7 linked regions of the Oryzias latipes genome follow. The protein of the gene in region 6 interacts with the protein of the main gene of each other region in a pairwise test. Links are inferred from orthologs where the notes say so. Each region holds a gene or a part of one and is shown on either strand. Other genes may lie near its edges.

Region 1 (3,618 bases), on a different chromosome or scaffold from region 6:
CATAATTACCCCCTTGGTCCAAATGGCACAGTTTTCATGAGCCCAGTGCTCACTGGCCTCTGCTTCCATTCGCAGCCGTTGGAAGATGCTGTTGGTTCCCTCTTGGTCCCCTGAAGCCCCTTTGCTGACATTCTGAAGCTGCTTCATTTTCCTGAACCTCTCTCGAAGCGTTAATCTTCGTGGAGCGCCTTCCCGACATGACCTTTCAGGTCTCTCTGCTCTTCGATAGCGCCAGTGATGATGCCTGCTGCTGCTGGGCTCTTGAGATGATGCTTCTGCGTTTCCTTCTTTGTCCACGTTGACCTCGGCGTCGTTCTCCGAAGCACCTGGTTTTTCAGCAGTGCTACAGTCATTGCCACAAGTTGTGTTTGACTCTTCTCTGAAGGATTCTGTGTGTGTGATGGTCAAAACTTTACGCGGAACACTATCTTCTGCGTAGTATGGTCCACACAAATCCCCGAGGTCTTTGTAATTTGCTGGCTTTCCACAAAGACAACATGTAAGACTCCTACCAGATATATCTGTATTGACCATAGGCCCCTGTATCATGGCGGCAGTGTGTGGCGTCACCTTAGCCACAGTGAAAGGATTCCTCATTCTAAGAATGCCCTTTTTTCTCCGCCTCTGAAATACCACCGCGTCGTCAGGCTTGTTGACTATGGCACACCAGGATGAAAAGTCCCTGGAGTTGTTGATTCGTACGTAGGGACAAAAAGACAGCTTTGAGTTTTGATAGATCGGTTTGCGCCTGATTCTTTTCACAGAAATGATCTCTGTCAGTTTCTCCGTTGCAGTCACCACAGGACCCATGATGCCCGTGTCCTCCTTGTCTGGATTCTCCCTTTCCAATCTTGTCCTTTCTTCTATTTCTCTCTCTTCTTTTTTAGCCTGTTCGCAACCAGCAGCTCTAACAACTGCCTCAATTACCTCAATAGCATCCTTCATGCCAGGTTTTGGGCCTGGCTTTTTATGAACTTTCAGCAGCTTGACAGGTAACTGTTTTATTGGGGTTTTGCTTCTTTTTCTTTTAGTCGGGTGTGCTGATGGTTTTCGTCCTCTTCGAGGTTTTTGAACGATTTCGGTTTTGATAAACTGGGGGTTTTCTAGAATCTCATCCTGGCTAACTGACAGCGGTGTTGTTGTTTCCATAGGGGTCACTTTCTCATCTGCTGATTCTTCTTGTTTTATCCCTTCAGTGTTGGTTTCTTCAGCTGTATCACTTTTCTCTGTGGACTCCTGATCTTTTCTCTTCTTCCTTCTTTGTTTAAGGTGCATTTCGTGGTTGTTTTTGATGGCCCTCTGTTTTGCTAACCTGGGGGTTGTGACTATTAGGCTTCCGGCTTCTAAGGCTACAACTGAAACATCTGCACTCTCTACCATTGCCCATCTCTTCCTTTTGGCTCTAGTGGATTTAAGGGCAGCAGTGATTACACTTTCCGATGCCTGGTGTGTCAACTCACCTAAACCTCCTACATCTAAGTGGGTGTCTGTTGAACCCAAAGCATTATACTCTGTGATATCCTGCTGTGTGTCTACTTTAAAGTGTTCCTCTTTCTTCTCTGTCTTATTTGATACCTCATCCTTCTGTCTGTGTCTTAACCCTTCTGTTAACTTCTCCTCAGTCATTTCCTGATTTTCTCTTTCCTGTGTCATCTCTTCCTTAATGACTGATGCTTTCTGCTGCTTTGACCCCTCTTTCCCAGGTTCTAACATCTCAGTATTGTTTGTCTGAACTGGACTTTCACTTTCCTTTAGAACATTCTCAGACAACACTTTGTTTGCGGCATCATCCATTAGAATGCTGTCTGGCTGAGGTGTTGGCATGTGTTTCTTGGAGCTTGGCGAAGTAATCTTCTGTACCATAGCCTCATATTTTTGACCCCTGCCTTTACGTGGTGGGAGAACTTTTGTTTTGGTAGGGCACTGATGAGGATTTGCTGCCACATCACCCACGACGTCAGTGACACTAATGTCTTTGGTTATGAGGGTGACTGTGGAGGTCTTCTTGGGTGGGCCGCGCTTTCTTCTGGGACCTTGCACATTTTTTTCTGTGAGTGTTGGGTCAACCTCTTCCTGTGTTTCTGTTTGAGGTGGTGCAATTTTTGGTTTGGGCTTTGGACCCCTCTTTTTCTTGATGGGTGTCTCTGGGGTAGATTTACGCTGATTTACATTTAGTGGTGGGGAGGTCTTTTTCTGAGATTGCAGGAGGAAATCTGATGGTGAAGGTGGTGCAGGTGTGTCAGAAGCATCTGGTGTTTTAACCATGTCAGAACCAGTAGTTGGAGTTAGTTCTACATCAATATTGTCTTCTATTACTGGAGAAACATCCCTGACTTTAATTTTTAATAATGTATGGGTGTCTCCTTGTGTGACTTTCTTTTTGTCATTTTCCAGTTTGTCTTTTGGGGGTTTTCTGGATCTCAAGACCATGTTCTTACTCTCATTTTCTACTGCCTTTGCCTCAGGTTGTACTTGGCTGTCTGCTTGCGCTGGTTTAGTATCCTGGTTCAGTTGGGGTATTGAGGTTTTAAGGCTTTTTCTACCTCTACTTTGTTGCCCTGCAACAGCTTCAACTGTGACTTCCTGTTGCACTACTTTTGCTTTAGTTATGGAGCCTTTGGGCCGACCTACTACACCTTTAATAGAGGGAATATCTATTGGTGTCAAAGCATCCTCAAGCTTGAGTCCAGGCTTAGGAGTCAGTTTAGGTCCAGGTTTTGGGACTGTTTTTGTAACAGATTTTGAAACAGGCTTTGATCTGAGCTTTGAACCTGGTTTGGGTCCTGGTTTACGTTTAACAACAGAGTCAATTTTTAGCGGTATTTCTGTTTCATTTGGTAAAGGTTTTGGTCCAGGTTTAGGTCCTGGTTTTGAAATGGACTTTTGTCCAGGCTTAGGCCCTGGCTTCATCCCAGGTTTTATTCCTGGCTTTGGTCCAGGTTTTGAACCCGCCTTTGGGCCGGGCTTTCTCTTCAAGTTGAGTTCAGTTTTGGTTTGCACATCTGTTGCATTAAACGAGCGGGTGCACATTCTTGAACGAAAACCATCTGTCACTATTTTGGAAGTCTGACTTACAATGGAGTCCTGATGTGGTAGATCAGTGTGATCTGAGTATAGCTCAGTCTTGCTGGGAGTCACGTCCAACATTTGTGAGGCAGGTGTGGCTCTTTCCTCATCCTTTTCCTCCTCCCTCTCTAAACGTAACTGTTGCCGTATCCTCACACCTGAATGAGTTATTCTCCGTCGACCTCTGGCGTGCTTACGTCCAAATGATCTTGGTTGGGAAGATGGAGCTACCGGCTCTGGTTTAGCCAATGGAGTCATGGCACTAGTGCAGCTGATGCCCGATTCTAAATCCTCATCACCTTTTTTGGGGGAAGGTGGCGTGTTTGCCCAGGAAGGAGCTGACGGGAGTATTGACTTCCCTGGCAGTTGAGGAGAGTCTGGCTCCAGCACTTTAGCATCACTGTGATCAATATGATCCCTTCCCTGCACCGGAGGTGCTGCCTTTTCGGTGAGAGCAGAAAATACAGGCATGGCAGATTGAGACTGAGGGACAGTGTCACCAATGGCTGACTCTCTCGCAGAAGGATCCATCCCTGCATTAGCTGATGCTAA
Region 2 (4,365 bases), on a different chromosome or scaffold from region 6:
GATTGTGATTGGCTAAGTGACGTTTTACACCATTGTAAACACATGGCAAACCCTGTCATGCGACCCATCTTTGACACTTTGTAGCTCATTTCTAAAATGTTAACTGTAAATGACAGTGATAGCAACCATTTCCAGGACAAGTGGGAAGGGGCATATTTTTCAGTAAAATAGGAAACAACTATGTCTGCCTCTTATGCCAAGACACCGTGGCTGTTTCAAAAGACTATCATGAGGGACTACCAGGCAAGACATAGTAACTACAACAAGCCGACTGGGACTGAACGGTGTGCACAACTTGCAGTAATTTTTGCAAATATGTATTTAAATGTGTTTGTTTTCTATGTGAAGAAATGAAAAGTATGCTATTACAAAAATGTTCATTAAATATTTCACTTGCATTTAATGTTACTAAAATAGTTAATGGATTGTCAGGCTGAATAAATGGCCCTCAAATATTTTCACATCACCAAATCTGGCTCTCTTTGCTAAAAGTTTGCTATAGACCATGTATTTGTTATGTAGGAAGTAGCCTATACTAACTGAATACTTCTGCATACTAAATTGGAAAACTATATGTTTATAATATAGTATATAAAAAGCAAACTTCAAGTATACTGCCTCACTTTTAGGATGGACTATACTTGGGCTAAAACTTTAGTATGTTAATGTTTAGGGTTAGGATGTAGTGGGTTGCTAAAATGGCCCTTTTTGTGTATCTACTCTACATAATCAAATGGCTTTTCTTTATTTGTTTGAAATATATATATATTAAAAAAATTGATATAGGGTAAAAGTTCTTGTTAGAAAGAAGTACAGTGGATCATTATCCAAATGCAATGTTGCGGTGGGGTCAAGTACTTATATCGAAAAATGTCACAAAATAATTTGTTTTTGCTTAAAACGTTGGGAATCTTTGCTGAGCCACCCTGGGTACGAATTGAAGATAAAGCGGTTCAACTGTGTCTAAGATTCTGTAGAACCAACTCGTTCTTGTTCCAGTGTCCCACGTTTTTCTGAGACACCCCATTCGCATTCGAATCATGTTCTAAGTCTAAATAGTTTGGGTTTTTGATAGGAGAAAACAACCTCCGGGTGAGTTTGGCACGTGCATTGACTCTTGACTTTTCCTACTTTCCGCGCGGGCTCCTGAAGGCAGCGGAGGAGCTGCAGTCACAAAGCCCCTTTGTCATTTTTCCGTTTCTCCCCTCCTCCCCCCCTCAGGTCGGGGCAACTTTCTTTTCTCTCCTTATTGCTGTGTCATGGAGGAACGTAGCATTAGTACAAGCCGAGTTGTTTCAGCTAAACGAGCACATCAAAGCACTTTTATTAAACTTGTTGTAGAGAATGCACATATTTATCTTTAGAAACCACTCCCTCCATGTTGGTCTTAATAAACTAATAAATAAGTGCGTCGTAACATAAGGTTTGGAGTTCCAGTGAGCTGCCCCCTTGTGTGTCTGTTTTAAAAGAATGTGACTGATTAGATTAGGAAACGGGAGTAGGACGGCTCTCCGTGCTCCCTTACAAAAAAGGGGAAGAAAAAAGTTTTTTTCATCCAGTTTCCATTAGATGTAGGAGGACGTTTGGGGAGGGAGGGGGCTGGAAATTCCTGTCATGCTGCAGGGCCAGCCTGGAGGGAGCTTCCTGCCACTTTTTTTTTTTTTAAACGTTCTTGTTCTTCCACGGCGGAGAATGAAATTTGATGGGAAGGAGCGAGACGTCGTGTCCGCGCAGAAACTCATGGAGACCTCCGGAGACTTCCAGGACTGAGCCGCCTCAGGTTTCCTGCGGAGGAGTTTGGTTGAAGAGAAGGGGGGCACTGCTTCTGTCCAACGGGAAAGGGAAACGGCATGTTTAGGTGTTTTCAAGGATCGGGGAAGTAGAAAAGAAGCTCCGCGGAAAGGTAAAAACCTAAGTATGTGTGCGCCGGGAGAGCGTTCACACTGATGTGAACGTCTCGCACTCCTGTTCCGGGTCGTAAAACTGCATTCCTCGGGAGTCCGCTCGCTTTCTTTGTAATCATCTACTAGAGACCAAACTGCCGCGAACAGCTTAAACATGACAGCCATCTCTGTTCACTCGCTGCCTCTTCAGGGATGCTTTAAATGTTTTTAGATTTTCTGGAACTTTAATGAATCAGAAGAAACTTTTAGGCCAGATGTTCAAAGTAAGACTTTGCATGTTTTTATGGGCCTAAAGCTCTAATGGTGGCACATTCAAAGTTTGATTGGACATCTTAGGTTTTACTTACCCTTTCACCCTTTAAAGACGCTATAGGATTGATAATATTTGGTTTTGGATTGTTAATATTTAGAAAGTCTGTCATTAAATACTAAAAAAGTTCCTCCAACATCCAGCTGAGCATCTTTATGACATTTGCTCCACAAGGTGAGGAAAGGACAGATGCATGTAGGGTAAAAATATGGAAGCCCAACAGAGAACACACATTTAAGGTTGTATATCAATTTCAAATTTACATAAAATAAATTGTGCTTCAATAAACAAGCGTTTATGGAGCTGTAAACCCTTTCTTCAAAGTAATTTACTTTTTTTGCACACTTTAAAACTTCTCCAGCGATTGGAAATATTAGAGGCCTTGTTGGTTTCTTCAAGTGTTAGGGTGTCGAGATCATTTTAAAAACAAAATTAATGAAAGGGAGAATTCTTATTTTTATTTTATTCTTATCTTTATTTATTTATTTAAAAACAACTTTATACAAGTGGAATGGGGAAGTTTACTCATCAAATGACTCAACAACACAAGGGAGATTAGTGATCTGTGAGAAACGCAGTACACATTTTTGCCAAATCATGCTTTATTAAGTTCATATGAAATACTAGCCGGGTGTTCCGTTTCGTTCTTCATGGCTAGAGTCTGGATTTTCTTATCCCTTGTACCCCTGGTGGAACCCACCTGGTTCTCCAGTAGAGGGGGCAGGGGCGTCAGAAAAACGAGCAGGACACCTGTTTTCAAGGACTGGGATTGGACGTGCAGTGCCGTGGAGCTAACAATGACTGTGCATGGATCTAATAGAGAGGCGGTGTGGTCACATGACCCAATGGTTTCCATGAGGTTAATTTGACTCTAGTTTTCAACTCTCATTGATATTAGGATAATAGGAGGCATTAGGGTCTAAGGGTAGGAATGCCCAGTTTAGTTTAGTCTGTTTAGTTTTGTTAACGATTGCCTGTTGTATTTTACGACTGATTTCATGTTCTGATACAATTACCGGTATAAAGCCTGTTGAGACAACTATTTTGTATTATTGGGCTATATAGATAAAATTCAATTGAATTAAATCTTCCATTGGAGCCATTGCTTAAGTACACGAAAAGCTGACCTTCAATAGAGTTGTGACTTTGGAAGCACAATAGAAAGCATGAACAGAAAATGTTTGGTGTAGAGGTAGAGTAACAGAACTGGTTGCAGTTTGGGTTCCTGCTTTGTCTGCCCATGTGTCAAAGTGTCCTTGGACAAGACACTGAACCCCACATTGCTCCAGGAGGTTTGTCTAGTGCCTTGCATTGCAGCTCTGTGACCATGAATGTGTATGCACGGGTTGGCAGGACTTGTGACTGTATGGTCCTTTGGGCCTTAATCGGATTAAATCAAAAATTCAACTTGGAAGTTTTATTCATTTTAGTTTTCTTTATTTAACAAAATAAACAAGCCTGCTAGTTTGGGCTGCAAGACATCGTCTCAACAAATGCAATTCAGATTTGCAGTTAAAGAGGATTCTGGCTGTTTGCTACATATGATCAAAAAACTAAAAAACAATGGCCCAACTATTAAGCATGGTGGAGGTGTGATGATTTAAGTTTGATTGACACCTGTCCTTTCCATCTTGTCATTATTGGATTGACTGTGAAAGTTCCTATATAGCAGCCTCTTTTAGAGTCCATTGTGAGGTCATCTGTCTAACAGCTAAAGCTTGCCTGAAAGTAGGTCATGAAACTGGCCATTGACCAAAGGTTATGAAGGTTAAGTTGTTTAATGTTGTCATAGCAACCAATGAGACATGAGAGCTAACGGCTGATCTGTGAGCTCTGGCTGAGTTAAGAAAGTGCTCCTCTTAGCCAGACTGCAGATTCCCGTTGCTTTTTTTCTTTGCATCCTTTGCTTTTGTATCTGCTGGTACCAATGTACCCAATTATGCCGTCATTGCATCTACAGTAGGAAAGAAGAATGTCACAAAACAATAAAATGTTCAATGTCTTCATTAGTTATCAGTAATACAATTAAATAAATTAGATTTATGCGGTTCAATATAATCTTTTAACCATGTTTTTTTAAATGAATATACTTTGGCAACTCACATGCTGAAATGTATTACTGCAATTGTTTAAGGAACTGCAACATTTGGT
Region 3 (4,143 bases), on a different chromosome or scaffold from region 6:
TAACAATAATAATTTTTCCAACACTGCAGACTAAATTTAACTGAATCTCACCTTATTCTCAGTAGGTTGAGTTGTGAACATCAACCTTTGTGTTGATTTATTTTGTTAATCAAAACCTGGAATTTTTACAGTTTTGCTCCAATTAACACAAAACTACAAACTAGTTTGGTGGTTGCAGGCAGGGAAGGGGAATTTGTTACGGTGTGCGCTCCTGATGGTTTACACGGTTTCTCCGGACGGCGTAGCAGCATTTCCGCCTTCTGTGGTCCGGAAGCCTCGGACCGCAGTCCGTCTGGCTGCAGTCCGAAGCTTCATCCGGACTAGCTTCGTGTTTGGACGGAGCGCACACCATAACAAAGCCCCCTCCCCGGCCTGCAAACACCAAGCAAGTCCGGAGGAGGCTTCGGACCGCGGTCAGTCTGCGCAGTCCTGAGAAACCGTGTAAACAATCATGTGAATTTGTGGTTCCAGTGTTGTCAAGACAAAATAAAGGCTGATGTTATTCCCACAAATTTACATCCAAGAGACACATCGCGGCATCGCCCGCAAGGAGTTTAAGTTCATCACAGCTAAATGTTGTTGTTGGCACATCTTAGCCTAATGCTAACCTTTCTTCCCGGTCCTTGTAGCCAAGAATAAAGCACTGGCCGCATGAGCGAACAGGTCCTTAATAATAATCGTAACAATAGTTAAAGAACATTTAGAAATCATCTCCTGCTGTTTCCCGCTAATTTTGCCGTCTGAGGACAGCTGCAGCCTCCCTCTAGCACAGATTTTGCCATGCTGAACTTTAGCTGGTAGGACCAACAACGCAGTAGAACAGCGAGCACTGAAGCCATCGCCCCAGCGTTTTAAGTGACAGAATAAGCGATGTAGAAGAAGAAAATGAAAAAGCGGTTTGGCGGATTGCTTTTTCATTTTATAATTTTGAGTCAACAAATGCAGCTTCATTTTGAAAATGAAAACGCATTTCTAGTATTGACTTTTATTTTTAATTATGGTTTTAATAATGAAAATTGTAAGAAAAAAAACGTATGAATGAAGAAATACAACATTTTTGCAGAGCTGGTACACCGATTGGAAAGAAAGGTGCTGACTGGTTGATCTGCAAAACTCGCGTCAAAAGTATGAGGACGTAACTTGAGCGTGAAGAATTTTGTGAACCAAACACAAGATTAAGACTTTTCTGAGCACCTGGAAAATATTTTTACAAGTGGAAAAATTAGATTTCTACAGGTTTACCTTTTTTTTTTAAATATATATATGTACATAAATGTTGTGGACTTGCAAATATTTTTGCAACTAACTGAAGTTTTTCCTTCCACATGTAAATATCATTTATACATGTAGATATCATTTTACTGCTGAAAAATACTATAGAAAGACAAACCCTATAGCTCAACTTTGGAGTGTATTAACCAAAGACAAATGTATTCTATAAGATACAATTTTTTAACTGACGTCTCATCTGTCACAGAGTGGATATCATATCCTGGGGAATAAAAAAAGTAATTAGAAGAACTTTACCGCCTAACAGTCGCTTGATCTCTGGTTTGGATGTTAGTTGAGACGCCAGCTCATCTTTAGCCGTGAGGACTTCTTTGTCTGCCCCACAACTTAGTAAATAGGTCACTACATGCTTATGGTTCCTCTTGCAAGCCCAGTGCAGGCATGTCCTAAAGAAAACAATGAAAGAAAAAGCATTTAGACATGAGATGTGGCCCATAGCATAAACATATTTTCACTTGAAAGACCCACTCCAAAGAAAATCGTGTTAATTGTGTTTTTGACGTTTTTGTTGCACCACTAATGTTAGGTGTGGGCTGTAAGCTAAAGGGAGAAAGTGTAAACAAAGGGATGATGGGATATCAGCAGAGGTGATTTTTTTCTAATTTCCGCTCTGCAGAAACTATGGCCTAGAGCACAACAGGTTTTTGGATTTTGCCTATAAATCATAATTAAAAGACCACTCTGAACTTTTTTACAAAAGATTGAAATATAACTGGAGTGGGACTTAAGGAACACTGATTATAAAGACAACAATTCTGGAAGTTAGAGTCCTGGACAATCAGACAGAAGCTGATAGTGAAAACACAATTTGATAAGCAAAGGAAAAAGTCGCAATGTTGGCGGTTTAACAAGCTCTGCTTTGTGTAATAGGATAACAGTGAGCATTTTTAATCCTCGTTACATCAAGGACACGTGATAATTGCTGATCGTAAAACAACACTGGGGACTCATTTTTGGTCAGATTAAACATTTTCGTAATACTTACCATCCATTGATTTCGTTTTGGGAATTGACGTTTACTCCACTCTCCACTAACGAGCGCACTTCGTCCAGATCCCCGATAGCAGATGCTTCTCTCAGCCTCTCTTGTAATTCTTTATCCAACGAAGTCGTGGACATTTTGCCACAAAACACTAGCGATGTTAGATCATATGGTGCAAAACCGCCGTGCTATTTACATCAATTGTCAAAACACAATCCACGACCGATTTAACAAGTGATTGCACACAGCTCGGGCTGAACAGACTCTCCAGCTAACTGTAGCTACCCCGGCTAACCTTACCTACTGGCTAGCTTGAGGAGGTGTTAGCTTGTAGCTTCAGCTAACGTAACTTCGTCGTGGCCGCCATTTAACGGGGAAACAGCTACTTTTCTCCTTTGTATTTATGTATGCTGCTGGTTGACGCCACAGAAGCGCTGTCGTCACCCTGAACACTCGTTCAGTCCTAAAACTGTGGTGACAGTCAGAGGTCTGCCGGTGTAAAACGCCACCGTCTCACTAGGGGGGGAACGTTAAGATGTGACAACTGCGCACAAATGTTCGTTCCCATGGTAGCGGTTACTTCACGCAATAACCTTCCGTGTTTTACTTTTTAATTAATACCAAACTTAACGTCAGATTCTTTGTTTTTGCCCTCAGCGTCACGAATAAAATGATAAATTTAGTGCGAACTTCCAAGCATGGTAACAGGTGCAACACTGCTGTCAGTCTCGGCTTGTGTATGATTGTATCGTAAAAATAATTATAGTTTCTACACGTTATTTGGGAATTGTTTCTTGATAAAATATAAAATAATAATTTGACTAGTATTTAACAACAAATGTAAAATTCAATTTTAAATGATGGATGGAAATATTAGAGCCCTTGGCTGACTAAATAATGGGGTTGAAAACAAAGTAAGTATAATATTATGAATGCATATATTCACAGCTGAAAATAATACATGTATATAATTAAAATAAACATCATAGTTTACAAAATAATTACGATTAAAATAATTTCATGGAAAAAGTAAATATGAAAAAGTTAAGCTGAAGCCAAATAAAGCAAATTTAAAAAAATAAATAAAACTTAAATCATTGTTCAAGAAAATGAGAGAAACGTGCTCTAAATAAGCCTAAATAGTTAAACATAACTTTAAGAATTTTTGCAAAACAAACCGGAAACTGCTGCCGAACAGGTTAGCGTTTCTACAAAATTTTCAATTCCCTCAAAAATGTAAACCCTTTTAATAATGATATTTTTTAAATACCAGAAGCCAAAGAAAAGTATATGGTTAAAGTAAATTAAATATATTTAAAAATAAATAAAACAAAAATGCAACACCTAGCTAAAAACACATTTATTTTCCACCCGACAACTGAAAAAACCTGTTTGCACTGAATTGCTAAACGTTTGATTTGACATTACTAGTTGAAAGTATTCTAAAGTTATAGCTCCTAATTAGCACACAGTTTGCCCTTTAATGGCTCGTTTTAAATTCTTACCAAAAGAAAAACTGCAGGAGAAGCCAAACTTTTCGAGACTAGAATTTCCTGAAATACCTTGTGGGGGGCAGAAAATTAAATTATAAAAAAATTATATATTATTTTTTTTGCCTGGGGAAAAAAACACGGGGAAATCAGAAGAACTACCAGGCTAATTTCACTTCTAACATTGATTGGAAAAAAGTCTGGTCTTTACCACAAAAATACTTCTTAACAAATAAAGTCAAAGAAATCTCTTTTAAACTCCTACACAGATTTTATCCAGCAAAGCATTATTTAACTAAATTTAAGGCTGACATAAACACCAGTTGTACTTTCTGCCAGAAACAACCTGAAACCTGCTCTCATTTATTCTGGTCTTGTGAA
Region 4 (3,618 bases), on a different chromosome or scaffold from region 6:
CCGTTTTCAGCTTTTCATTATTCAGGCAAACGTTTTTCTATCTTTGTCATTTTGGCGGCAAACAACTTTGGCTAAAAAGGAGAAAATTAAGCTGGAATTCTTCCCTTTCCCCCCCACCCAGTATTTCCTTTTATTCTCACTCCGGTTTTTAGTCAAAGCAGTAAACAACAACAACAATCAGTGAAGGGGGGGGGGGGGGGGGGATAGAAGCAAGGATGGAGAACAACAAACAAATATGGGCGAACAGAGAGAGAGAGGCAGACAATACCAGCCTTAATCAGACCAAGAAAGGCAGCAGCGGGAAGGGGGAGGGTCCTACCAAAACATTAATGTGGATCGTTAGGGCCAAATTGGAGGAGAAAGGAGCATACCAATGAGGGGAGGCAGAGACAGACACACTTAAAGATAACGCTAAAGGAACACAGGTGCATACAAATTAGATCCACAAACAAGACATGCTGAGTAGCGGAAAACGGGAGAACGGCGGCCAAACATGGAGGGAAACTGCTGAAAACCCCACAGGAAGTCTGACTCCTGTTTGCTGAACTACGCTCCACTTCCTCTGCTTACCTGGTGGGGGCAGGGTCTGTCCGGGCAGGGCGGCCTGGCCGGGGGTGGGCCCCGGCAGCGAGAGCAGGCCCTGCCGCTGCATGTTGAGCAGGTGCTGCTGCTGCTGGAGCTGCTGCATCTGCAGGAGCTGCTGCTGGAAGACGAGCTGCTGGGCGGCCAGCTGCTGCTGTTGCTGCTGCTGCTGCTGTTGCTATAGAGAGGAGGAGGAAGAGGAGGAGGAGGAGGAGGAGAGGAGCGCAGAGGAGAGGTGGGAGGGAAAATTACACAGGAATTAACAGCTGAGATGACGGAGAAGAAGGAGCTATGCAGTGGCGCTGGAGTGGATGCAGAGCCTGTGATCTGAGTTTTCTGTAGCACAGAGCAAAGAGAGGCCAGTCTCAAGTCCGTCTGGTTAATCGTCAGTAGCTGTGCATGATGTCTCTGCTAGAATTCTCCTTCCACGCCCTCGACCTTCAACAGTTATGTGTCTCGCCCTCACTGGTGGGTTGTGCTACTAGGGGACATGCAGAGGGATGCTACATTCACACCGGCCTCGGAATCAAGTTTTTAAGTTCCTTTTCGAGCTCTACGTTCAAAAACGCTCATCCAATGACCGTGCGCTGAAAGCTAAACCAGCTGAACATTGACCAATCAGGGACTCCGGTTTAGTATTGACGTATAGATAGTGTCAATCCTATGAAGTGGGTCATAAAAGAGAAATTGTTGATTGCCGTTTGTGTTTATATGACACCAAGTTTTTTATATATCGAAAAAGAGCTGGGAGAGGCAAAGCTTGGGGCAAGATTTGCACCGCTTCCACAATTCGCACCAAGCCTCTTCCAACCGTTCCAATGCGCTGTGAACAATAAATGGCAAAAAATATGCTCAAGAACTCAAGTTCAGTGCGTTTTTGAACGCACCACATCCCTGGTGTGTGCGTAGCATCAGACATTTCTGAGGAAACAAAAGCCCACCACTCCCTTTTAACTCCTTGTTTGGTCTCACCAACTATTTAGCAAAACCCAGAAATAATTAAAATTAAAAATAAAAGAAAATAAGCCCCCTCTGATCATCTTTGATTTACTGTAAAGTCATTCCAAGTGGTCTTTTAATCCAGATCTTCCTGTTTTAGTTTCTGCAGAGGGACAGCAGATCATTTGAAATTCCCCACTCAGTTGTGGGCGGGACTACTGGCATGGAGCAAGCCCACCCCCTCTTCCCGTCACCCATCTGTTCACACGTTCTCTTGATAGCGTACAAAGATCTACATGGGTCTCGTCGTCTACAGGTGGACGTGTAAGAACGGAGCGAAGCAGGGAGCTTGTGGCTTGAATAGGTTCTTTGTCAAATAGTCTTTTGTCATCTGCTCCCGATTCACAACAATTGGAATAAAGAAATATTCAGAAATGCAAATTTTAAGCTTAATGTTCTTTATATATGAGAAATATGTCACAAGAACATGTTTAAGTGGTTCTTCCAGTCTTTGGAAAAAGTTAGAGAGAGAATTTTAGGAACCCTGACAAGCTATTATGCTGAAGGTCTGGCAGCCTGATGCACCTGCAGATGTACAGAGAAGGGGGGGGCGGAGGGTGGGGGGCACTCACTGGAAAAAACAGGCTGCATAATGGAGTGATGGAGAGAGGCTGTTTGCCTCCACACAACCCTCCAACGCACCTCAAGAGAAATAAGGGGAGCAATTTTCTATTCCACGTTGGGCGGCCGGGGCCCCGAAAACCCATTCACAATCAAACAAAAACAAAAGCACCCGGAGGTCAGACCGGCGGCATGATGGGATGCTGGAGGAGGAAGAAGAGCAGCGCGGAGGAGGAGAGGAAACACAAATAAAAGGATTGTGTTTGTGGAGTCATTGGAGCAGTTTCTGCGGCGAGGACTAAACATTCTGCTTTCCTTTAGCAGCCAAGGGAAGAAAAAGTTGGAGAGCTGAGTCACTGTACGAGGTCTGCTTACCAAACCGCACAGGTCAGTGGCAATAAACCTCATCCCAGTTAATTAAAAACCGCATTTGAATGATTTTATCGTCACTTTACAAAAACGGTAATAGAAATAGTAAAATACAAACAAGCTGTCAAAAGAGGTCTTATGGAATTTGACGATTAGCAATCGTTGCGTTGATGCAAAAATGAAGAAAGGCTGAACAGGCGGATGAATGAGGGAAAAAATTGGCGATTTAGGAAGTCAGAAGTCATCCAATGAAACCTTAGTCACATGCACCCCATATGGGCGCTGCAGGTGTCTGGGTTGTCCACGTCCATGAAGGATCGTGGAGAGCGGCGCAGTCATCTTTCAGGGACCTCGTACGGCCACTTTAAGGGACGCCGCGCAAACGGAACGTCTGATTGTCGTGCGTGTGGTAGGTGTATCGTGAAGTATCTGCACGGTGTATCTAGGTTGCACGTTGGGCGAGTAAGTGCTCGTAGGATGCACACACGCTCGGATGATCTCATTTTTAACAAATCAGGCTGCACGCAGGGACTGCACTTATCTGTTGAACACAAAACTAACTGCAGGTTAAAATGCAGGGGAAGTTAAAAAAAAAAGAAATCTGCACGACACACCTGCATCCTACCTACTTCACCCCTGTGTGCTGTTAAAGTGTTTGTTAGGACCTGTCATCTGTAAAAAATCAAAAAACAAAAAAAAGTTCATGGTTTGCCCTATGAGCATCACAGTTTTGCCCGTTTTTTGCCTGCAGACACCCCTTATCAACCCTCTGAGGGGCAGTTGTGACTGGAGTTTCAGGCACAGACTGTTGTGTGTCTTTGTTGTGTCTGTCATGATGCTGCATACCTCTTTGACCTGTTTGCCAGGGTGCTGCTGCTGCTGGAGGAGCTGCAGGTGAAGCTGCTCCTGCTGTTTCTTATAAAACTCCTGCAGGTGTTGCTGGGAACACAAACACACACAAGCATACAGACGTTAGAAAAGACTGAGGGGAAAAACCCTAATCTGAGATGTAGATAAGGAATTAGAAATGTTGGAAAATTTGGAGGGATCTAAATTAAATCTTCCAATCCCCAAAAATCTTCCTACAGCCAAAGCGAGACAAAATAA
Region 5 (4,066 bases), on a different chromosome or scaffold from region 6:
CCTCGTCTACATAGGATGTAGTCCACCTGAGTACTCCTACCTCCACTTCTGTATGTCACTCTATGTTCCTCTCTCTTCTGGAAGTAAGTGTTGACTACAGCCATTTCCATCCTCTTCGCAAAGTCCACCACCATCTGTCCCTCCAGATTCCTTTCCTTCACACCAAACCTGCCCATCACCTCCTCATCACCTCTGTTGCCCTCACCAACATGCCCATTAAAGTCTGCTCCAATAACAACTCTCTCTCCTCTGGGGATACTCTCTATGACCTCATCCAACTCACTCCAGAATCTCTCCTTCACTTCTAACTCACAGCCAACCTGTGGCGCATACCCACTGACTACATTCACCATCACCCCTTCGATTTCTAACTTTAAGCTCATCATCCTGTCTGAGACTCTTTTCACCTCTAGAACACTGTTTACAAACTCCCCCTTCAGAATCACTCCTACCCCGTTTCTCTTCCTATCAACACCATGATAGAACAGTTTGTATCCTCCTCCAATACTACGTGCCTTGCTGCCCTTCCACCTTGTCTCCTGCACACACAGTACATCTACCTTCCTTCTCTCCATCATGTCTGCCAGCTCTCTGCCTTTCCCTGTCATTGTGCCAACGTTAAGAGTCCCTATTCTCAAACCTATGTTCCTGCCTTTTCCCTTCTCTCTCTGGCCACGGGCCCTTCTGCCTCCCCTCTTTCTTCGACCAACAGTAGTCAAATTTCCACCGACACCCTGTAGGTTAACAGCATCGGTGGCGGTCGTTGTTAACCCGGGCCTCGACCGATCCGGTATGTCTAAAGTGTTGTGGATGATTCGCATGGTTATTTTGGCAATTTTTACGCCGGATGCCCTTCCTGACGCAACCCTCTCTATTTATCCGGGCTTGGGACCGGCACAGAGGCAACTGGCTTGCAACCCCTGTGGCTAGCCATTATTAACTCTGTAAAGGCCAATAAAGAATTGAAATGGAATAAATGTTTTCTCCTTAAAACTAAATTATATATTTTTATTGCTGTGGGTAAAACATATTTGTGAAATTTGGCAACATATTTATTTGAATAGTTAAAAAAATAGATTAAGTCCTCATACATCAAACCGAAGTGGTAAAAATAGTTTCCACTAAATTTGATGTTCATCATCAGCGATTCTTTTAACCACCACTCTTTGAACAGCAGGAGGCGCTCGAGCGTCCAGTCTGCTACATTTTCAGGGCCACAAAGAAGAGTTCCCAGCATGCACTTCTTCGGCGCGGAAATTTCAATGGATTTTCAATGCGAGATGAAAGTCTGAGGAGAGAGCTCACGAAGGAACAAGTCTGCCGTGTTTCGGCGTTCAACCAGCTCAGTTTTTGTAAGTACGTTTGTGAAAAGCTGCGTTTAAATTCACCGCGTTGTTTGGAACAAAATAGTGGGTTTGAAAAACTAATACTTGTAAAACTTCTACTGAACTACTAGAAGTTCTATAAATACACTTTTCTATGTACTGGAGGCTGACATGGCGTTTAATAACAAATAAATATTCACGTCCATCTTATTTTTTTCTTTAAATTATGTGGGCTGTTTGCGGAGAGGTGTGAAAGATGAGTGGATCAGGTGACAGCAGTGGGACGATCAAAGCAGCTGATCCCTTTGAGGATCTGTGGCGGCAGCTGGGAGAGTGTCATCATCACGTGACTGGAGGTAAACGACTGCTGGTTATCGGGCAAGGAGTGACACTGATAAACAAGGAATGGATCAGGAAACAAGTATGGATTTTCTTTAGAAAAGACAATTCTAGCTGTATAAAAACACAAGAACAGATTAAGCAGTGTAGTTTTTTTAATTTTTATTTATTTTATTGACCAATTGCAACATCCAGAACAAAAAAAAATGCAACAATTATGTACATATAATGTACATTACAATTCTGAATACAGAAAAAACGTGTTACATCCTTAGGAAGATTTTAATTATTAACAATAATTACAAAAAGATTAAGCAGTGTAGTTTTTTTTTAGATTAGCAGTGTAGTGCAGATCCGGCTTTTACCGGCCATGACGTCATCTGCGTGAGCCTGAAATCTCCTGCATTTTTAAAACAAAGTTAAAAAACAAACACTAAATTTTATTTTCAGTGTTATTACAATATGTTTTCAATAAAAATAATTATTAGTGTACAAATAAATGGGTGATTTTTACCTGTACTTTAGCAGAAATGTACACTTCACCTATAAAACTGTAGAAGAAGCATTGTTTGCTTTTGTTCAGAGCTAAAGGAAGGATAAACTAAAACACACGGAGCCAGAATTGAATCAAAAGGTAACAAGTCCTTAGTAAATGAGTAAAAATGTGATGCTGGTTTGTTTGCATTCAATCAATGGCATAAAAATGCAAACAAAAAAAAAAGGAATTGGCAACTGAAAGCATTACATGCAATTTGGTAATTTACTGCAGAAACTCTTAAACAAAATAAGAATAAATAATAATAACTTTTTCTATGGGAATAACTTTTTCCCATAGAGCTGGAAGCAAAGGTGAGCCGGCTGAAAAAGGACCGCTGCCTGTAAGTCCTGATGGATTTTTGTTTTAAGGAACGCCAATAATCATAACGCATTCCTTCATAGTTAAGGAATGGCAGTCAAAGTGACGTTTGTTTGTTGCAGAGATGCTCAGAGACTTGAGGTGTTTTACAACCGTAACCAGCATCTGAAGGAGGAGAACAAAACCCTGCACGACACCATCCACCTCCTAGAGGAAAGGTAACATCCTCCAGCGTTTGTCACACTCTGGACCAACAGAACCGGCTACGTTTGATCATCCGGTTTTGCTCAATCAACAGAGGGTGCTCCGGTCTGGGTGTTGGGGTCACCAAAGGGGGGGTAGTTTGCTAAAGAGAGGCAAGAAAAACAAAAGTTTTGTTGTTCTTTGTTTTTCAGGCTCAGAGCAGGAGAGTGCGACCGTTGTGTTGTCTTGGAGGAAAAGCTGAAGAGCAGCCTGGATCAGAATCTCAGACTTCTTGATGAACTGAGTGAGTCCCAGAAGGAGCTCCTCTCAAAAATAAAAACACGTGCACCATCTTTTTAAAATAAAATCAAAAGAGGATGTGGGAGGTGGATCGGCTTTCAGTTGCAGCCAATCATGTCTGGAGGGGAAACGGTTGCTGCGGCTTTTCCCTTTTTGTTTGATGAAGCGCTGATGGAGGTGGAGGACAGCCGTCTTGGAATGATGGTGCTGAGAAACTTTTAACTTCTTATTCAGGAATTGAAAGAAACAACCTGCAGGATGAAAACAGGAAACTCCGTGCTGAGATACAAAAGCTGAAAGCATCGTGGTGAGTTTTCTGTAAATCTTCTTCCTTTCAGGGAAAATGTTGCCTCCAACCTTCCCAAAACGTACCTAAATTTGCATTTACCTAGTACCCAGTCAAAATGACTTTTGGGCATTTGGGGCCAAAGTCTCTTATGGGTCCAAAAAAAAGTAACAAACCAAAACACACGTGTGTGGAAGATGTAGATTTTGAATGGCGTTAGCGTAGCAAGTTTGCCAAAATGGCGTTTCCCTGTTGCTCACATAGTTTTTACTGGAATATTGTGAAAATACACGAGTCGACAGCTCAGGCTGAACAAAAACAATGTCTGATTGAACATATTAGGAATGCGAGGGTGGTTAACAAAAAACCTCTGTTGCTAAGGAAATCCCAAAAAATTATTTTTGCCTGTTCTTCTAAACGTGACTCAAACATGTTCGTCACCCCCAGGCGACAAAAAATTAAAATGGTTGCTATGGAGGCAAAACCAACCGAAGGCTCCTTTTTTTTTTTTAGTTTTCATGAATTTGTTATGTGGCTCTGACTGGGGTGGCAGAGGGAGAGTAAGGGGGGGGGGGGGGGGGTAGCAGCCGCTCAGCCATCATAGGATGGCGAGGGCAGAGGCGTGTAGCGTCTGCTGCTCACGCCTTCATTTTATTTCAATATCTAAAAATGTTTTCCTCATTAATGGTAACATTTAAATAAATAAAAATATTTTCTCTAAAATTTATCACAGAAACGTGTCTTATTTTTTTTCTCTTCATTTTTGGTTTCTAAACA
Region 6 (4,394 bases):
TACTAGTCATTATCTTTTTTTTTTAATCAGGTGGGTGATGAGGTTTGAGTTAAATGTAGATCATGAATGCAAACATGCAGACGTAAGCCAACTTAGACTAAATTGGGTATTTTAGGAAGACTAAAACTAAATTGCATGTTTTCTAATACGTATAATATAAGCATTATGTGTAATTTCTCTTCAGTTTGGCATTTGTGGGTTGATTCAACAGAAAAGACAACCCGTGCCAGAGTAAGTGATAAGAATTGTCCTGGCAAATGCAACAAAGCAATGTTGAGAGACCAACAAATAGACAGAGTAAAAAAGTTTATGAGGCTTTTGCTGGAGAGGAAACCTTATAAACAGAGTTAATTATTAAGCATTTTTTAACTAAAATTAGAAAGCATTTTTACTTAAAAAACTGTAAATATTAGGACAATACTACCTTATAACTACATAAAAGCTGAAGAACTAAAACTAAGAAAACCCAATATTCCCATTATGATGTTGGTACCTCTGGCAAACAGTCCCAGATCTCCACCGTTCTTAGCTGAGCTGCAGTCGCTGAACTGAGAGGCTAGAGATTCAAAAGACTCATGCCCAGATTTGATTTCGTCTATGTACTCTAGAAAACAGAACCAAAAAAAAGACAGATTAAGTAGAGATTTGAAACAGATCTGGTGTTTCTGTCCTCTGCCTTACTTACTCTGAATAAGCTCTATAGCCTCTTCTTTAGTTCGTGTTATATTTTGTTCCCTCCAGGAAGAAGGACGTCGAGACTGATTATGTTTTACTAGGAGGTGGGAGCATCGCACCTGAGAGAGAGAAAGGAGGAAACACAAAAAGATACACAATACATCATCACCTATTTGTTAGAAAGTGTTATAAAATGTTTCTGTGCAGGGGTGTAATGACTAATTGACCTGATCAATCAATCGATTTATATTCCTACGATCCAAGCAGAACAATCTGTCTGAGGCATTTGTTAATTGAATCGATCTATTACATTATAAAACTGTTTCAAATTAAAATAAATATATTATTTCCATATCGGGAAATACCATTTGGCTTAAGGGACGGTTTACTTTACTATAACATAATAACAACCAAGTGTTAGTTAGATTGAACCAATATTGACCATAAAATCGTACTGGAAACCACAAGTGATCATATGAATTAGACCTGCACAACAAAACGCAAATGTATCATTATCGCAATTTCAAGCTGTGCAATTCGCATATTGCAAAAGTCGTCAAAAATAGCAATAAATGTTTACTTTAAATGTGCTAAAACAAATATTGGAGTATTTAACGAATCAAATAAATTGACCAATCAGATGGGGCTCTTTTATTTATTTATTTTGAAGCTTTTCTTAGGTTAGACGTTCGCCTCCTATGTAGACGAGGGTCATTTGGAGTATAATTTAAGTTATGTTGACTCTTATTTAAATTAAACTGTTGCAGTAAAATGGAAATGATGTTTTTAGTCGTTTTGCTATTTGTTCATGAATGTTTTATCGTCGTCGCAATATTGATCACTAATATGGCGAGTTTTCCTCATATGGTGCAGCCCTAATATGAATGTCATTAAAACTAATCATTACCGGTACATCACTATCACAAGCTCTACAAATACTTCTTTAGTGAATTTATTATGATTTCAATCCTAAATGTATTGCTAATAAAACACACAAAATGAAGTCCACCTTATCTGGCTCTCCACGGCCATCTCCCACAGGACGTTCCCACTGGCTGGCATTAGTGATGTGGTTAAAGTAGTACACCTTGCCTACAAACAGCAAAGAAAGCAGTTTGATCAGCACCTTTGGAATGATCCAAGACATTAGAAGACACAAAAATCAAATTACAGTTTACATGACCTTACCCACTAAAACTGCAAAAGCACTCACAATTCCCCGTATCGGTATTATTGTTGTTTCATAGTAGTTGGTCATGAAGTTGCATGGTTTTGAATAAAACCAATGCATCAACTGCTGACAGTGTTCAATTTAGTTTATAGGTCTGCAAAAAGCTGTTCCTTTGCAATCCTTCCTTTTTACTCCATTGAAAAGAAACACACAAATAAAACAGAAAAAAAAACACCTAAAGTTTTTACAAGGCAATCATCTACCCAAACAGATTTTCTGTAAAAGAAGAAGAGAAATCAGATAAACAGACGTATCTGCAGAAATAAATCACATTTTGGGGGGGATCTGAAAGTTTAGTAGATTTCTCAAAGTTAAATAATTACCTATATATGAAAAAAATGTAAAGTGATCTTGTTTACAAAATATTCCCCAAATTGTCAGTTTTACTGTGCGTATATATTCACAAAATACTTTCAAGACATCAGGTCTAAGCTGCGTCTGCGCAAATTCCAGGTGACGTCATGCAACGGCGGCCCTGCAGAACATCTCCATTAGAAAAAAAAGTGGGGGAAAAGCTAGTTATAAAGCAAACCGTAGCATAACCGTATTTTCCCAGCGGCACTTTTCCTGATAGAAACCGTGTCGGTAACCCCGATGCATGCATTAGCAGGACAGCCTCACCTGAAACAAGTTCACAAAGCCTCGCTTACCACGATGCACGGGCTAGCTATAAGCTAAATCAACTTCTCGTGGGCTGCAGTTGAGCTCATACATTCAGCCTCCCCCGTCTTATGTATATTTACCTGAACTACGGCTCATTCTTTTCTCCCATCCCGACGGTAAATTCTCCTCGTCTGCCATGTTATCTGCTGCAACGTTATCAAGTTAGAATTCAACGTTCAAACGATGCGACACGGCTACGGCTCAGCAGGTACGACAGTCGGTTTACGGCAAAAGTTGTTTTCTGAGTTTGGCCCGCCCCCAAACGGCTTGTCCGTCCTACTATTGGTCTTCAACTCTTGTCAATCATATTTCTTACTATCTAATTGGTTAAGAGGACAATAACACGCGACATCGATTCTACGGTGATGAGCACCGAGAGCTTTCCAGAAGGTTTCAACTAGTGAAGAAAATCCATCAATCTTGGGCTACATTTAACGTATGTTTTACACTTTTTGATCTTTTTAACACGTCTGGCAACATTTTTGAAACCTTAAGTTGATCTTAATAGGCGCCATCTAATTTATGTTTTATATATTTAAAAGAGTTGTGTGCACAAGCTAACGGGTTAGCTAAAAAAATCATGGCTGGTCGAATTTCATCGTCAATTTAGTTTCTGCTGTTGACGCAAAATGAATTACACATTCTTTTGACTTAATGTTAGTGGTGTGAACGATTAATGTCGTTCCTGTTCATAACTCCAATATTTCAGCTTACTAGCTCCTCTTTTTTTCACAGTACACGATGATTGAGGTGATTTGCAACGATCGTCTTGGGAAGAAAGTCCGGGTCAAGTGCAAGTATCCTTCTGAACACATTTGATTTGCTGATCTGCTAAAGATGTTTTGGCTGTTAATACTGCACTGCAACATGCTGGTTCTGATTAGTTAAGGGGGGGGGGGGTTACTGTGCTATGGTCCATCCATAGCACAGTAACCGTGCTATGGATGGACCCTTTCCTTATGAACCCATTTGGGGTTCATTAGAATAACCATTTGGGCCTACATTAGAATAACCAGGTAACCTATGAATCATGTATTTTCGACTGTGGGAGGAAGCCGGAGTGCATGGGGTTTCTCTGCAACAAGCAAACTCCACACAGAAGGGTCCCAGCAGGGTTTGGAACCAGGGCCTTCCCCATTGCACCATCATGCAGCTCTATTTAAAATCTAAAGACTGAAAACATTCAGGACATGAAAGCTGGAAGTGTTTGTTTTGAAGGGTTTTCCACGTCACCAAATTGCTCCTCAACATCCTTGCACAGCTCAGAGGACACAATTGGAGACCTGAAGAAACTAATTGCAGCACAGACGGGAACAAGATATGACAAAATTGTACTAAAGAAATGGTAACTTTGCCTTCCTTTGCCTTTTTCTTCTTTGCATCACAATGAACATTGCCCTTTTTGGCTTCTTTACTTAGAAAATGTGTTCTTGTTTTAATAGGTACACCATCTTCAAGGATCACGTGTCTCTCGGTGACTGTATCCTTTTGACGCACTGACTTGACCTTTACTAAGCTGATGCAGAAAGGACCGATTTGCCCTCTAATTTCTTTAGTATTTGAAAACCTAAAAAGCAAGGTCTTAGGCTGGAGCCACACGTGGCTCTTATCACTCTAAATTCTGAAGTTTTGAATAAAATTGAAAAATATTTTTAAGCTTTGTCATTATGTTTGGATTTTTTAACTGAGGTGAGCTAGTATTAGTAAAAAAAATTTTTATATACCACTGTTAACATCCACATTAAATATAAGAGGTCTTGTGTCATTTTCCACTCCTCATAAAGTTCAAACATATCTGATAACTGACCAAAATGATAGTAAAAGG
Region 7 (4,320 bases), on a different chromosome or scaffold from region 6:
CTATACATCATACATATGTTATTTTAGAAAAAACAGACAACAGAAAAATGTATCTTTACCTTCGATCATTGAACAATATTTGTCAATAACAAAGTTAAAAAAAAGTCTTATTTTATGGTTCGTTTCCCTCACATATTTAGGTTAAATAAACTTTTATGTGTTTATTTTAAAACACCGACAGTTGAACTGAAGCTCCGTTTTCTTAGAAGGGTCTGCAGAGCTGCCGCACGCCGCGCTCGCCGCCACCCCTCCCACCCGTGTGAGTGACAGCCACAGGTTTTAGCAGCAGGTCCACCTATAAGGTCATCATCACATGCCCTCCTTCACCTCCCCTGTGCTCCGGTCCTTACCCCCGTGGCCCCCTGTGTCATTTCACGTGTCGTCACGCGAGGAGCTGGAAAAACAAATGGCGTCGGGGGCCATCGGGGGTCGTCTGACGGTTGTGTCGCTGCAGTCGAAGCCACTTTTCAAAGAATGCATTGAGGTGATTTCAAAGAGTAAAACCTGGTGGACGTGTCCACGTTCACACGCCGAAACCTTTCAGGCTTTGGTGCAGCGTCTGTAAGGCGGGTGCAGCCCACAGCCCGGACGGATTGAAAACACGTGTGCGGCCATACCTGCTCAGTCCAGGCAGATATACGACCCGCACTAACCCGCTAATAGCCTTTATTTGTAAGATAAACAGTAGAAGAGTTTGACGCTCACTCAGTGAAGGTGCCTTTCCTCCGCTGCCTTCAGAAGGCCTGGGGGGGCGCGGGGAGCAGAGTTACCGCCTGTCTCCGCTGAGCTATCTGTTAAAGTCATTTTCTCTCAAAGAGGAATTAATTTCCTTTCTCAGGCTGTGGGCCGGCCAAGTCCTTCCCCAGAGCGGGCAGTTATTGTGAGCGCTCCCCCCGTAAAACGTCTCGGAGCTGCGAGTTCTCTGAAACCGCCATCAATTTTATTTGTTTTCTATCTATTCTTTGAGGCTAATCTGTAAAGTAAATGCCTTTGATTTACGCAGAGCGCTGAGAGGAAGGGCGGAGAGTTTGGTTCACAGGAAGGATTTTTCTGTTTCTGTCATTTCTGATCCAACGGCAGCTCCGGTTGGTTTCTGTTCTGCCCGGACTTTCAGGACAAAACTAACGTCTCACAAAGTTTTATTTTTTTTATTTCTCAAAGAATTGACAACAGTAGTTCTGAGAAGGAACTTTAATTTTCCAAAAGCTAACACGACTTTTAATAAAAACAAACAAAGCCATATTTAGAATTGGTCTGGTTCATTGTTTTCCCTCCTTGTCTTCTTCTTTGGAAGTCAAAAACATTATTAAGTCAAACGTTTTTGACTTAAAAATGCCTAAAACGGCTTTATGAGCAGCAGATCCTTAGCGAAGTCTTTTACTAAAAGATATTTTTATTAAAATATTTGGAAAAATGTCAGCAGCAGAAGATGTAAAAATTATTTGAGAAAAACAGTCCCCCCCCCCCAACTGGGTTTGTTAAAGACATCATAAAGGCAGAACAAACATTCAAACTATTAACATTTACAAATTTGGTTTTATTTATTAAACCATAATAGGCGTTTCATAAGAAAAACAGGGAAAACTCAACAGCATCGAGTCGTTTTTTTGAATACAACCACAAAAAAAGAACCAACTAGAAAACAAAAACCACGGAAATGTTTCGGGACATTTTGGAACCAACAGCATGGCATTACAGGAGCGTTGAGGAGTCTAAAGTCTGAATTCAGTTTTTCTATGAACCACCTCTGTGATTTCTGACTCTGGGTCGTCCGAGACGCAGCACTTCAGTCTGAAATTTAAAAAAACAAAAACCGAAGTGAGTTAAGCGTTTTCTAACGTTCTCCATGGATAAACGCTGATGTGGAGCACAGATTGACGTCGAAAGTAATAAAAGAATAACACCCGTTTCTCCATATGGTTTTCTATAAATTTAATTTAAAAGATTGGAAATTTACAGCTTTGTTTTCATAAAAGTAACTGAAGGGCAGGGGAAGATAGAAGATAAAAATATATCTCAGCATCATCTGCATATGTGGACTTTTTCTTTTTGTTATTTTGAAATGTTAATAAAACAGTGAAACCGGAAGAGGACCTGCATCCGGATTGTTGAGGCGCACCACAGGTCACGGATGCTGACCTGAAACAGGTCCATGCTTAGAAACAGGGATCCATCTGTCAGATAAGTCCTCAGCCGGGTTTAAGGGTGGCGCTTTGCGTACAGACGCCCCACCCCGGCTGGTAGACAGGACTTTGGCGACTTTGCTTTATGAAAAGCAGCTGTGAGGAAACGGCTGGTTCGAGTCCGGAGTCAACAGTCAGAGAGGCCGCTCTAAATCCAGATTCAGTCCTGTCAGATTCACCCCTGAACTTTTTGAATCTGTTTTGTTTCTAACGGAAAACTCCCAGACTGAACTCTCAAGAGATTTCAATAAAAGTGGTACTTCAAGACTTTTAGTTTGTAAAAGCTCAAGATAAATTCATGCACTGGAAAAAATGTTCTTCTAGAAAGAAACTAGAAAACTTTGTTCTTAGTAGGTTGGGTTGTTCTGCCTTAGAGACTACATTAGGCCTGAAATGATCTATAAACACTAAATTTGATGTGTTGTCTTTGTTATGAGAGCAAAATACATTTTAAGCTAACTTTGTCTTGACAAATGTGTGTTTTATGAGTCAAATGAGACTTTCCAGTTTTCTTTAAATCAAGCAAATAGTAAAAACTTAATTTCATTAGATATGTTTTCTGGAGACTCAAGATATTCGGGTTTTATTGTATTTAAATAAATTGTTACAGGAAAGTTACTAGTTAGTTAGTTTTGTCTTGAATTGAGCGTACACTAAACTTAAAGCCGTGTTTTGTGGTTTTGCTGTAGTTCGTGGAGTTTTTGTGCTGCTGTTCTGACCGGGACCGACCCATTTTCCTCCCCGGGTCGGGATGCAGCAGACGTGGATGTCGGGGGTTTGATCCAAAGCAGAAGTTCTGAATGTTTTTGAAACATACTTCATCTCAAAAACTTTTTTTTTTTTTAATCAAAGCCGAACTTTTCTGGTGTTTCAGGTGCAGCAGGTCATGACTTAAATGTTGCAGCTTCCTTTCGGGACGGCGCTGGACGTGTTTGGCACGCCAGGCCCGCTCCGGACTCCATCGTCCCTCAGAACAATGCTCGCAGGAAGCGGCTAATGGAGACAACAAGCATCTCCGCCAGCATCCACACAGTTCTTTTTTAAAGAGGTCAAACCTGACAAACAGAGGGGGGCGGGGCAAATTAACCCTTGACACCTCCCAACCTCTGCATGGTGTCCCACTTTCCCCCCGTGTGACCTCCTGCCAGCTCCGCCCACGAACCATCAGGATCTCAAAGAACGCCGAGAGGCCAGCGGAGGTCAGGTCCAAAGTGAAGCGCCGTCTTTCCGTCCTCGGCCGCTTTAACGCCACACGTTTATTGTGCTTTGCGTTTTGGAGGGTGATGGCGTGTATGTGGTCAGGAGCGCGTTTGCAGTCTAGGACCCAGCCTCCCTCTCACGTTACACCCTATTTATAACATCCCCTCAGCCGGCTCCCCTCGTTCTGCAGTTCCTCCGAACCTCCTCGTGCTTCCAGGCTGGAGCTCCAGCCCCCTGCTCCTCCTGACATCTGAGAGGCTCAGCTGCAGCCCGTCCCGGGATAACTGTTTACCCTGTGAAGCCTGGCAAGCGGCCGCACGCTCCGGATTACCGCAGGACGCCACATTTCAGAGCTTTGACTGCAGGAGAAGTTTGGGGAGAGTACGGGGAAAAGGAGCAGCATCTGGGATTTACGTTTGTTTTTCCTCTGGCTGGTTGAGCTCCTTCACGTCCAACCCCCCTCTGTCTCCTCTGGTGGGGCGCCATGGATCACGCTCTGTTCAGCTGCCTGCGGAGCCCCCACGCCCCGCCGCAGGCCCTCCATTCCGCCTTCACCCAGTCTCCCCTGACTCTGCACGGACGCTCGGACCACATCTCCTACCCCGACCTGGCCTCCTCGTCTTCCTCCTCCTCCACCTCCTCACCTTCGCCGTGCGTCATCTCCAGCTACCCGGCCGACGACGGCCTATTTCACGGGCAGCACCCCCACCACCCCCACCGTGGCCACCTGACCCCCCAGCAGCAGCATCACCCCCCGCCTCAGCACCACACCTCGTGGCACGTCCCGCCGATGCCGTCGCCTGGCGGCGGCGCGCGCCACGGCCTCTGCCACCCGCATTCACACGCACCCCACGACAGCGGGCCCGCGCCCTCTGACCTGGGCCATCCGGGTGCGCCCAGTTTGTGCGCCAGCACCCCCAGTTTGGGTGGCGGCAGC

What was found.
Region 1: the proteins of pin1 (region 6) and rai1 interact in binary tests that used the Homo sapiens proteins (3 or more experiments, as listed by UniProt). The two-hybrid records come from large-scale screens. The link is inferred for Oryzias latipes from reciprocal best matches to the Homo sapiens genes PIN1 and RAI1.
Region 2: the proteins of pin1 (region 6) and angiomotin interact in binary tests that used the Homo sapiens proteins (3 or more experiments, as listed by UniProt). The two-hybrid records come from large-scale screens. The link is inferred for Oryzias latipes from reciprocal best matches to the Homo sapiens genes PIN1 and AMOT.
Region 3: the proteins of pin1 (region 6) and ankrd40 interact in binary tests that used the Homo sapiens proteins (3 or more experiments, as listed by UniProt). The two-hybrid records come from large-scale screens. The link is inferred for Oryzias latipes from reciprocal best matches to the Homo sapiens genes PIN1 and ANKRD40.
Region 4: the proteins of pin1 (region 6) and foxp2 interact in binary tests that used the Homo sapiens proteins (3 or more experiments, as listed by UniProt). The two-hybrid records come from large-scale screens. The link is inferred for Oryzias latipes from reciprocal best matches to the Homo sapiens genes PIN1 and FOXP2.
Region 5: the proteins of pin1 (region 6) and rbbp8 interact in binary tests that used the Homo sapiens proteins (3 or more experiments, as listed by UniProt). The two-hybrid records come from large-scale screens. The link is inferred for Oryzias latipes from reciprocal best matches to the Homo sapiens genes PIN1 and RBBP8.
Region 7: the proteins of pin1 (region 6) and meox2 interact in binary tests that used the Homo sapiens proteins (3 or more experiments, as listed by UniProt). The two-hybrid records come from large-scale screens. The link is inferred for Oryzias latipes from reciprocal best matches to the Homo sapiens genes PIN1 and MEOX2.

What each region holds. Positions count from the first base shown.
Region 1 is NC_019866.2:12,420,667-12,424,284, forward strand, and holds part of rai1 (retinoic acid-induced protein 1), read right to left. Parts: coding exon 1-3,618. UniProt on the Homo sapiens protein: Transcriptional regulator of the circadian clock components: CLOCK, BMAL1, BMAL2, PER1/3, CRY1/2, NR1D1/2 and RORA/C. Positively regulates the transcriptional activity of CLOCK a core component of the circadian clock.
Region 2 is NC_019872.2:12,828,698-12,833,062, reverse strand, and holds the start of angiomotin, read left to right. Parts: upstream 1-1,473; 5' UTR 1,474-1,903; intron 1,904-4,365.
Region 3 is NC_019866.2:13,503,908-13,508,050, forward strand, and holds the start of ankrd40 (ankyrin repeat domain-containing protein 40), read right to left. Parts: upstream 2,843-4,143; 5' UTR 2,410-2,842; coding exon 2,276-2,409; intron 1,677-2,275; coding exon 1,528-1,676; intron 1-1,527.
Region 4 is NC_019881.2:5,166,054-5,169,671, forward strand, and holds part of foxp2 (forkhead box protein P2), read right to left. Parts: intron 3,451-3,618; coding exon 3,358-3,450; intron 761-3,357; coding exon 571-760; intron 1-570. UniProt on the Homo sapiens protein: Transcriptional repressor that may play a role in the specification and differentiation of lung epithelium. May also play a role in developing neural, gastrointestinal and cardiovascular tissues.
Region 5 is NC_019878.2:11,812,836-11,816,901, forward strand, and holds the start of rbbp8 (DNA endonuclease RBBP8), read left to right. Parts: upstream 1-1,224; 5' UTR 1,225-1,352; intron 1,353-1,557; 5' UTR 1,558-1,581; coding exon 1,582-1,681; intron 1,682-2,499; coding exon 2,500-2,542; intron 2,543-2,642; coding exon 2,643-2,738; intron 2,739-2,915; coding exon 2,916-3,007; intron 3,008-3,237; coding exon 3,238-3,310; intron 3,311-4,066. UniProt on the Homo sapiens protein: Endonuclease that cooperates with the MRE11-RAD50-NBN (MRN) complex in DNA-end resection, the first step of double-strand break (DSB) repair through the homologous recombination (HR) pathway.
Region 6 is NC_019859.2:22,494,296-22,498,689, forward strand, and holds the start of pin1 (peptidyl-prolyl cis-trans isomerase NIMA-interacting 1), read right to left. Parts: upstream 2,809-4,394; 5' UTR 2,778-2,808; coding exon of another isoform or gene 2,753-2,777; 5' UTR 2,708-2,752; coding exon 2,650-2,707; intron 1,768-2,649; coding exon 1,685-1,767; intron 795-1,684; coding exon 686-794; intron 605-685; coding exon 494-604; intron 1-493. Other genes in the region: ubl5 (ubiquitin-like protein 5), read left to right, coding at 2,753-2,777, 2,902-3,005, 3,305-3,366, 3,831-3,914, 4,012-4,049. UniProt on the Homo sapiens protein: Peptidyl-prolyl cis/trans isomerase (PPIase) that binds to and isomerizes specific phosphorylated Ser/Thr-Pro (pSer/Thr-Pro) motifs.
Region 7 is NC_019874.2:31,204,023-31,208,342, reverse strand, and holds the start of meox2 (homeobox protein MOX-2), read left to right. Parts: upstream 1-1,490; 5' UTR 1,491-3,867; coding exon 3,868-4,320. UniProt on the Homo sapiens protein: Mesodermal transcription factor that plays a key role in somitogenesis and somitogenesis and limb muscle differentiation. Required during limb development for normal appendicular muscle formation and for the normal regulation of myogenic genes.